Bombyx mori: one gene and its partners. The protein of the gene in region 1 purifies or fractionates together with the protein of each later gene. This does not show direct contact. Links are inferred from orthologs where the notes say so. Each region holds a gene or a part of one and is shown in the gene's direction. Other genes may lie near its edges. The genes, in order: COP9 signalosome complex subunit 3, protein mahjong and cullin-5.

The links.
Region 2: the proteins of COP9 signalosome complex subunit 3 (region 1) and protein mahjong purify together in Homo sapiens (affinity purification with mass spectrometry; 5 studies listed by BioGRID, with this or other methods). This does not show direct contact. The link is inferred for Bombyx mori from reciprocal best matches to the Homo sapiens genes COPS3 and DCAF1.
Region 3: the proteins of COP9 signalosome complex subunit 3 (region 1) and cullin-5 purify together in Homo sapiens (affinity purification with mass spectrometry; 3 studies listed by BioGRID and IntAct, with this or other methods). This does not show direct contact. The link is inferred for Bombyx mori from reciprocal best matches to the Homo sapiens genes COPS3 and CUL5.

What each region holds. Positions count from the first base shown.
Region 1 is NC_085119.1:8,374,519-8,378,282, reverse strand, and holds the start of COP9 signalosome complex subunit 3, read left to right. Parts: upstream 1-1,393; 5' UTR 1,394-1,658; coding exon 1,659-1,713; intron 1,714-1,881; coding exon 1,882-2,036; intron 2,037-3,112; coding exon 3,113-3,209; intron 3,210-3,764. UniProt on the Homo sapiens protein: Component of the COP9 signalosome complex (CSN), a complex involved in various cellular and developmental processes.
Region 2 is NC_085130.1:15,869,342-15,873,005, reverse strand, and holds part of protein mahjong, read left to right. Parts: intron 1-111; coding exon 112-265; intron 266-1,580; coding exon 1,581-1,726; intron 1,727-2,763; coding exon 2,764-2,958; intron 2,959-3,664. UniProt on the Homo sapiens protein: Acts both as a substrate recognition component of E3 ubiquitin-protein ligase complexes and as an atypical serine/threonine-protein kinase, playing key roles in various processes such as cell cycle, telomerase regulation and histone modification.
Region 3 is NC_085129.1:7,724,705-7,727,657, forward strand, and holds the end of cullin-5, read left to right. Parts: coding exon 1-1,091; intron 1,092-2,211; coding exon 2,212-2,349; 3' UTR 2,350-2,393; downstream 2,394-2,953. UniProt on the Homo sapiens protein: Core component of multiple cullin-5-RING E3 ubiquitin-protein ligase complexes (ECS complexes, also named CRL5 complexes), which mediate the ubiquitination and subsequent proteasomal degradation of target proteins.

The sequences.
Region 1 (3,764 bases):
AATAAAACAAATCAATCACTCCTCGCGTTCCCGCCAAAAAGTCTCAACCGAACTGTCAATGAATGATAGCATAGATTATACACTTAATATATAATGACAGTATTACATCATAATACACGAGTGACACTTTCATTTCCATTATTGAGTTTCATACACTGAAGTAGGAAACCTAGTTTCATACTTCAGTGTTTATTGAGGAACTTTGTGGGAACTTTATTGTTTAGTGTCAAATTTCAAAATGAATAATGTCATTGTATAAAATAGAATTAGTACATTCTTATTTCATTAGATTTTTTTACTGAACCGACAAAGAAAAAATTACCCATAAAACCAAATCTAAAAAAGGCAAAAACATGTCAGTTTAATAAAATGTGAAATGGAATTAAATAATGCAACAGATTTATTTTTATTGCCCTTGCAGGTAGACAAGCATATGGCCTGCCTGATGGTAAGTGGCTACCGTTGCTCCTGGACATCAGCAATGCCGGGGCACAGCCAAGCCGCTGCCTACCGTTGCGTACTTTTCTTAAGTCTCCTTTAAAGATAGATCATCTGTAAAGGAGATTTATATATATATATATGTATATATATTTTATATATTATATATGGCGTTCGGGAAACACCGTAGAGGGAAGTTCATTCAAAAGCCGGATGGTACATGGCAGAACTCTTCTCCGATAACGGGTGATGTGATTATAAAATTAATATTATGGGATCATCTGAAACAATACATCAGAGCACACCCTATGGGACATACGATACAAAACCCAGAGACAATCGAAGTCTCTCTGTAGACAGAGAGCTCCAAGCGATACATGCGAACGGGAATATGGACAATCCGAACGTCTCTCTTCTGTATGAAGTCCAATGGAAATTATCTGATAGTATTTGAGAGCCCCGGCCCAGAGGTGAGAGCAGTACTCCACGCAAGGCCGGAATTGCTTTGTAAGGCCGAATTTGTTTTATATAGCAAAAATCTGTATCCAGGTGTGAAGTACCAAACACAAGTTTCGATAGTTTTTCCTGCATCATAATGAATGATGGCAAGAAAATAATTTCTTAGTAAAATAGCACCATTCTTGTAATAAAATTAACTCTTCTCATGACTGTTTTCTTTGAATTGATTTTGATTCAATTTTATTTGAGCCGGAATATATTTTTATTACATAATTTTTAGAAAATTAAGTGATTTATGTATCTAGCCAAAAGAGCGAGCGCATCTTTTACGGGATAGTTTCTTATTTCTTCATGTAGTTTTTAAACTAACATTTATTACGGGTGTGATACAGACTAAATTACTGAAAATAACAATAAAAAAGAAAGAGATTAACACATACCTATTTTATCATATCGCACAAATACATAATGTTTTGTCTTATCTCAGCTCAAATTTAATTCATTTCGTTCCGTTTTACTTTTTATACAACACTTATAGCTGTAGTCTTTATTTTTTACAAGATTATGGTCTAGTACCTCTTTGCCTAATATATTGATGTATTTAAATAAACAACTACCGCTGTCAATTTCTCATGTCAAAAAAATATCAATAATTCATGTTATTTTCGTCTGGGTTATTTTAAATGTAGAAAAAAGAAACAATTTATTTAAACATTTATTAATTCAAGCACATATATAATTTATCTGATACTACTATCACAATGGCTTCTCCTTTAGAACAATTTGTCAACAATGTGAGGACAATGTCGGCATCAGGTACCGTGCTATTATAATTCATGGAATAAAAAAAGTAGGCACCTGACACAATCGCAATCATAATAATAATATTATAATAAACCTGATTCTTTTTTAGGAAACAAATTTATTGGAATGTATTAGAACGTCATTAAATCAAACTTCATGGTACAATGTCTTATCTTTCAGGTAATTTTCGCGATTTATATGAGATTATTGCAAAATCAGATGAAGTGTTGCAGAGGAATAGCTTCCACCTCAATACAGTACTTGAAACTCTTGATATCCAACAGCATTCATTGGGTGTTTTAGCAGTCCTGGTGGCCAAATTTTCCTTGCCTCCGGTAAGTGTTTTAATTATGCATTCTAACTTTACATAAATTATTACAATGGCCTTAAAGTGTAATTGAAATCTAAATGTATGTTAAGTCTAACTTAAACTGTATCAAAATCTATATATTAATACATGAAGCAAGAACTTTGTATCCCTTTTTAAGAAAATTGCGCGGACGGAGGAGTATGAAATTTTCCACACTTATAGAGAATATACAGAAGAAGTGCATGATGTTAATATATTTTTTGAATAATGCATAAAAGATACATTAAATCAATAAAGAAAACATTACACACACTACATACCTTGTATTTGACGCACACACGCATGCATACTATTTATTGTCAAACTTTTGTTCTTGACGTCTGTTGTCAAATTGAAATTAAATATTGTTTGTCTTTGTTAATATTTTTTATAGTGTAGTCTTGGTGAAATTTGTGATTATAGAAGTATAAAATACAATCATAATAGTGTAAAAACTTACAATTCCAATTAATCATAGTTGAATTTCGACTACTGCGGGACCTCTAGTATCACTAAATATTCACAGCAATAATTATAACATATATTATATATATTTTATATCTATCAAGGCATTTTATGCCTAAACTCAAATTAAATAAATAATGGTTTAAAAATACTAACAAAATACGCTTTTGTAGAAAATCCAACTAAAAAATAGAAAATAAATTTGATTTAAAAATGGTGTAAGAAAAAATTATTTTATTGTAAAAAAGCATGGGGTGCATGGTGCATGCATGGTAAGGGGGTCAAAATCATGTTCAAAGATTCTGTTACATACTAACATACATACAACTGAAGCTAATAAAATCGTATTAAAAAGCTGCAAAGTCACCCAACATGAATTTTGAAAAAAATCTGTAGTAGTATATTTATTGATACTGACAAACTTAATGAGGTCCAATATTAATTTGAAAAAAATATCTCGTAATAATATAATGTTAACTTAGGTTTTCTCTTTGTTTTGAACTGTATAATGTTCTACAGCATGAAATAAACTGTTCATCACATATTAACTACTTTTATTTCTGTTTTCTGAATCAATATAACTTATGTACCTTACAGGGCAATCCAGAAGTTGATAGGTCAACTATGTATCAACAGTTTCATGATTTTATCAATAACTGCAATGGTGAACAAGTTCGATTTGCAACTGATTTATGTAAGTCTGCTTTTCATTTTGTCAATCTTTTTTAGTCAGAATGCTGAACCTCTATATATTTTACCTTCTTTGATATCTCTGAAAACTAGAGTTGACCCTGCTCATAGCCTAGTAGTATAATAGTAGCCTAGTAGTATAATCATGAGTGTTTCATAGTTCAGTGTGTGATTGTAAATACTGAATTTTTATCAATCAATTTATGTATAATACTTTATCAGTAGCATCTTTTGTGTATAAGCTGTGTGGCTGTGTGGTCTAATATTTCAAGTTAAAAACTGAGAAAAAAGTTTAACACAAACTCAATAAAATAAAATAAATACTTGTTAATAAAATAACCCTCATTTATTACAATATTTAATTATAGACAATCATAAGAAATATTTTCTATCTCTGAGTGCAAGGTCAGTAATACTCACGAATAACCTGTTATTATGCTAGTCACTAGCAGCTAGTGTAATTAATTCAATTTAAATATTAAAATTAATTTTTTCATTGGTCTATTTCTTAAAAAATAGTATCTTATCGCTTTCTCATCTTAACTTAGCAAAACAATTT
Region 2 (3,664 bases), on another chromosome or scaffold:
GGGTTCCAGTAACCACTTAACAACAGGTGGGCTGTGAGCTCGTCCACTCATCTAAGCAATAAAAAAAAGATAAGTTGCGAGTAGCGTGTTGCAGCTGCCCTCGGTCCGCAGGTGCTGCTGGCGCTGATGACGGTGAAGTCGCCCATCACGGACGCGGACCGGCTGCGCGGGCTGGCGTGCCGCGCGCTGGCCGGGCTCGCGCGCTGCCCCACCGTGCGGCAGATCATATCCAAACTGCCGCTCATCACCACCTCGCAGATACAAGGTGAGCCGACCGACCGCAGCGCCCTCTGCTCGCTGACAGTAGGACTGACGTGTCCTTCCTATCAGAACTGGTTTGCGGCAGAGCTCATGAAACTTAGTCACTGACCGCCTAAAGGGCGTCACACATGGTAAAGATACTATAGTATTTTATCATACGATACCTGGATATTATTATATTATATTATTATTATATTATATTAAGATTTTTTTTCCTACCTAGCTGAGAGCCTTGAGAGGCTATATCAGCGTAGCCTTAACTAGTAGGTGAGCTCACGGGCTCAACCTGAAAGAGGATGAACAAACCACAGTTCAATAAATATAACGACAATAACTGCTTTCTTTGTACATAAATGATAGCCAATAACCACATTCGATGCGCAAAAATATATATATATCTCTAGGTCTATTAAAATCATTTCATTCGTACAGCTAGATTCGTTAAAATAGAATTTTTTTCAGGTATTTCAACTTTAAATTAGTCTACTGTAAAGTTCACACATTGTCGCTTAGTCACGTTTGCCTTTCAAGCGTCGATATATTATATATTTCAATAGATCGCCTTTAGTACCTAGGAGATTGGTGCCGACTCACCTGACTCAAGCCAAGATGTACTGACGCAGTTTCGCTGATGTACATAATTTTGCCATCCGGAGCCACTACGAATATAAAACCGTCCAAAGTTTGGAGCAAATGCGACCCGAGCTCTCGTATCGACAATTCGCGGGGCTGTGGTGGTGGTGGCGCCGCTCCCCACGCGTCCTCCAAGCCTGGTGACGAAAGCGGATTTCCTTTACTGCCGACGAGAATCCCGCAGGCGGGTACCAATTTTTCTAATGAAATACGTACTTAGCAAATGTTCACGATTAACTTCCACGGTGAAGGAATAACATCGTGTAATAAAAATCAAACCCGCAAAATTATAATTTGCGTAATCACTGGTGGTAGGACCTCTTGGGAGTCCGCACGGGTAGGCACCACCACCCCGCCTATTTTCGCCGTGAAGCAGTAATGCGTTTCGGTTCGAAGGGTGGGAGTAGCCGTTGTAACTATACTGAGACCTTAGAACTTGTATCTCAAGGTGAGTGACGCGTTTACGTTGTAGATGTCTATGGGCTCCGGTAACCACTTAACACCAGGTGGGCTGTGAGCTCATCCACCTATCTAAGCAATAAAAAAAATAAAAATATAATATTTTTTTGCGCATCGAATATGGTTATTGCCTATCGCTTATGTACAAAGCAGTTATTGTCGCTCAGTCACGTTTGCCTTTCGAGCGTCGATATGTATGTATAATAATCTAGAACGTTCTTGCCCAGTGCTGATGCGCGACCCGATACTCCAAGAGAAGCGCCAGGAGCACGTGATGTTCCAGAAGTACGCGCTGGAGCTGCTGGAGCGCGTCTCCGGGAAGAGCAAGCACATGGGAGCCGAGTTCGAAACCTCATTGGCGAATATACACAAGGTGACAGATTTTTGAATACGCTTTTATTAGCTTCAGACGTATGTATGTTAGCTTGTCGTAGTCAACATGATGTGTATTTTTTTAAGGGATTTTATGACCTGGTAACTAAGATCTTTAAGTCATGTCTTATTTTAATTTATATTGTTATCTTTATAAAAAAATGATAATATGGAGTGAAATGAAGATGATTAATTTGAGACATTAATCAACTGGGATGAAATTAAATGAAATGAGATGAGATGATATGGGATGAAATATAATCTCAGTAAAGTGGTGATCATTTACTGCGACTTTTTCAGTAGACTTTTTGGAGGCTCCCGAGAAGTTACGTCCAGCAGCTTTGTTTCATTTTCCCACATTTGTGCACTTTCACAGATATCAAACAGATAATAAACCACCATTATTACATATTTAAACCTGAAGAAACATTAAATTGACACAGTAAAACAAATCACACAACTTTAAACTTCGCGTTCCCGCCAAAAAGTCTCCATGACGTGTACTTTTTTTTAAGGGATTTTATGACCTGGTAACTGAGACCTTTAAATCATGTCTTATTTTTAAATTATATTCGTATTTTTATGAAAAATTATATTATGGAAGGAAATGAAATGAAGATGATTAATTTGAGACATTAATCAACTTGGATAAAATGAAGTGAAATTAAATGAGATGATATGGGATGATATAATCGCAGTAAAATGGTGGTCATTTACTGAGATTTTTTCAGTGGACTTTTTGGAGGATCTCGAGAAGTTGCGTCCAGCGGCTTTGTTTCATTTTTCCACATTTGTGCACTTTCACAGATATTAAACAGTTAATAGACCAACCTTTATTACACATTTAAACCCGAAGAAACACTAAATAGACAAAATAAAACAAATCACACAACTTCACTCCTCGCGTTCCCGCCAAAAAGTCCATGACGTGTACTTTTCAGCTTCGGCACAGATTATACACTACTCACGCAAAGGGATAAATTTTGAAGAGCCTCGTCTGATGTGTAAATTTAGTGAACGCAAACTTTTGATGTCCAGGCAAACGTGGTGGCCCAGACGCGAATAAACTACAACGAGCGTCAGCTGCTGCAACTGGTGCAGGAGCACCTAGCGGCCCGCGGACTGCACGAGAGCGCGGCCGTGCTGCAGCGCGAGGCGGGGCTGCCTCCCCCCGCCGCCGCCGCCCCGCCGCCTCCCCCGCCGCCAGTCTACACACCCTCAACGCCCATACGGGTATGTTCATTAAAAGATTCATTCATAATTTGTTGAAGTGAAACTTCTCACGACAGATTCGTTACGGCTAGAGAGAAAAGATACAATTTAGGAAGAGCGAGAGTGAGAGAATAGACAGAGCGTCTCGCGGACCACTCGACCGTGTGGAGAGAAGGAGAAAGCCAGCTAGGCCGTTTCTCTTATACACAACATTGCCTATTATAAGAGAAATTTGATTAAAATATGAAAAATGAAGATAAACACAAGATTTTAACACCGCAAAAGAAGTTTCACTTCTTTAACGTGGATTTAAATGAAATCGAATCGAATCTGTGGTTAGCACAGATGAAAGTAAAATCTATTTAAATATGCTCACTTACCGGGGTTACGGAGTATTGAGTATGACAAACAGATATAATCAAAAAAATATTTTTTACTGGTGGTAGGACGTCTTGTGAGTCCGCACGGGTAGGTACCACCGTTCTGCCTATTTCTGCCGTGAAGCAGTAATGCGTTTCGGTTTGAAGGACGTCGCTGCCGTTGCGCTTTAAAAACTGAGACATTAGAACTCATATCTCAAGGTGGCATTTACATTGTAGATGTCCATGGACTCCGATAATTATTGAGCATTAAAAAAATCTACCGCTATGTGCGTCCCTAAGCAGTCATGTCTGAACTCATGTCTGAAGGTTGGCTCCACTGGCAGTTGGCTTAGGGACCCCGGTAA
Region 3 (2,953 bases), on another chromosome or scaffold:
CTGCCAGGGACAAGGCCTATAAATGCGTGGTAAATGATACAACTGTTTTTAAACTTGAGTTGCCTTCATCAACTCTTGCCCGTGGTAGTAAAGGTACAGCTCCTGAAAGCAAGTGCCCTGAACTTCTCGCTAACTATTGTGATATGTTATTACGAAAAACACCGCTAAGTAAAAGATTAACTAGTGAACAGATAGAAATAAGATTAAGAGACGTTTTGTTAGTTTTGAAATATATTGAAAACAAAGATGTATTTATGAGGTATCATAAGGTTCATTTAACAAGAAGATTGATATTAGACTCAAGTGCGGACTCTGAAAAAGAAGAGGATATGGTAGAGTGGTTACGTGAAGTAGGTATGCCTGCAGACTATGTAAATAAATTAGCACGAATGTTTCAAGATGTAAAAGTAAGTGAGGATCTGAATACACAATTTAGGGCAGACACAACTCGTCATGATGCCATCAATATTAAAATACTCAATGCTGGAGCTTGGGCCCGTGGATCTGAAAGAGTAACAGTAAGTCTGCCACTAGAATTAGAAGACTATATTCCTGAAGTTGAAGAGTTTTATAAAAAAAAGCATTCAGGTAGAAAATTGCAGTGGTATCATCACATGAGCAATGGCACTATAACATTTGCTAATTCAGTAGGTCGTTTTGACTTGGATGTTACAACTTTTCAAATGGCAGTGCTATTTGCATGGAATCAAAGACCTATGGAAAAAATAAGTTATGAAAATTTGAGATTAGCAACAGAACTTCCAGACCCTGAACTGAGAAGGACTTTATGGTCTCTTGTGGCTTTCCCAAAATTAAAAAGGCAATTGTTGTGCTATGATCCATTGATTCAAAATCCTAAAGACTTTGTCCAGAATACAATATTTTGGGTAAATCAGGAATTTGCGCTTATTAAGAATGGAAAACCACAACGTAGGGGTAAAATAAATTTGATTGGAAGACTTCAGTTGAGTACAGAGAGATCTCAAATAGAAGATAATCATTCCATTGTGCAGCTAAGAATATTGAGGACTCAAGAGGCAATCATAAAAATACTAAAGATGAGGAAACGCATTACAAACACAGCACTTCAGGTATGGAACTTATATATTTTTGTTTCGATGTACAGTAAAAGCTCTATTTGCAGGCTATATTTTCCCTAAATATGCTGCGAATATGGAAAAGCGCGTTTACAAAGGATGTTCGGTTCGACCTCCTACCTTGGAATCTTTTATATCAATGTGTATGTACTGATTAGATTTCGAGATAGAGATTCGTGAATCAAGAAATCTTTAGGCGCGAACGTAGGCATTAGGTCGCATTTTTTTAATCAGCGAATAGTGAAAGCGCGAATAAAGAGCTTTTACTGTGTTAACTTTGAATATCTGTTCCAAACATGTGTACATGAATGCTTTCCACTAAAAACAAATATGTATATAAATACTTAAGGTAAGCTTTTTGTGTTAGGAGATTGCATCAGTAAGTACTGTATTCCTTACAGGTTACACTCATAATAGTGCAAAGTGGTCTTCTACCACATGGGGTAGTAGTGTTTTTATATTTCAGTAACCACACTTGATACCAAGTAGATACTGAGCTAGTTCATGCTGCACAAATGATGATTGATTATAATTTTGCCATGACTTAACAAAAGAAAAATTTGAACATACTTAGGTATAATAAATTGGTTTGGAAGAAAGCCTTTGCTTAAATAAATAAGTTTTGACAATGTTTTCGTAATTGCTTTCATGATTCTTAATTCTCCAATAAATGTTATATGGTATTTAAATAATTGAAAAGGTGTGTTGGGTTCACATATTCAAATATTACATCTTATTCTAAGCAGCAGAAATTCAGACGATAAGGGCTGACGAAGTGACGAAGATCACCAATTGAAGATTTTTCTTGTATTGTTCACTAATAAATACATTCTCCTTGTCTCCACCTTATACCACTAAGTGGGATCGACACTGCCAATGTTTGTATTCTCCTCTATCAGCCGTCATCTCAACACTCACTCCTCTCTCTCTCATATCGTCATTCACACTCCATCCATGTCTTCTTCGGTCGACCTTTTTTCCCCTGCAGGATACCACAATTTCCATACATCTCCTATTTACGTGCATCTCTACGCATCACAATATGACCATAACACGCTAACCGTCCGCTCTTTATAAATAAGTAACAAATTTTTATTATTTTTATTCCTTGCAGAGCGAGCTGGTAGAGATTCTAAAAAATATGTTTCTACCATCGAAGAAAATGATAAAAGAGCAATTAGAATGGCTTATTGAACATAAATATATGCGTCGCGACGACGAAGATATTAACACGTTTATATACATGGCCTAAAGTCAATAATGTAAATGAATAAAATCAATAAATTATTTACTCTATTTCTCTGTTTATATATCTATATCTGTAGTCTCTGTTAATAGTTCAAAATATCATGTGTTGTTTATTAGTAATTGTAAGGTAGGTAACATAAATGCATATTGATATTATGTTAATATTTTATTAAATACATAGAACATAGTTTACATTATTAAATGTAAAAAAAACATAAAATTAGTTGTTGGCTGGTTCTATAGTTGTACCTCCTTGAATTTGTCCCCAACCAATTAACCTGAAAATAAGTAATAATATGTTGACAAAACTTGTTTCAAAGCACATGTGGTATACCAGTTATGCATTGATACTAACCGCCAGTGATTTTCTACTCTTCTACTCAATGCTACTTTTTCTCCAATTTCCGTGCAAACAGGGTTCGTAAGGGCGATTTTAGCCAAATCAACTTTTGTGGCGATTACTCGGCCGCCAGTACTTAACGATCCAATATTTACGAGGAGGACCTAAAAAATATTTAATGTGCAACTTTAATTACAATAGATGTGTGATCAACCTAACGGCCCAAATAGTGCTAAGACATTACTGTAGTTTCTAAATAATGTACCAC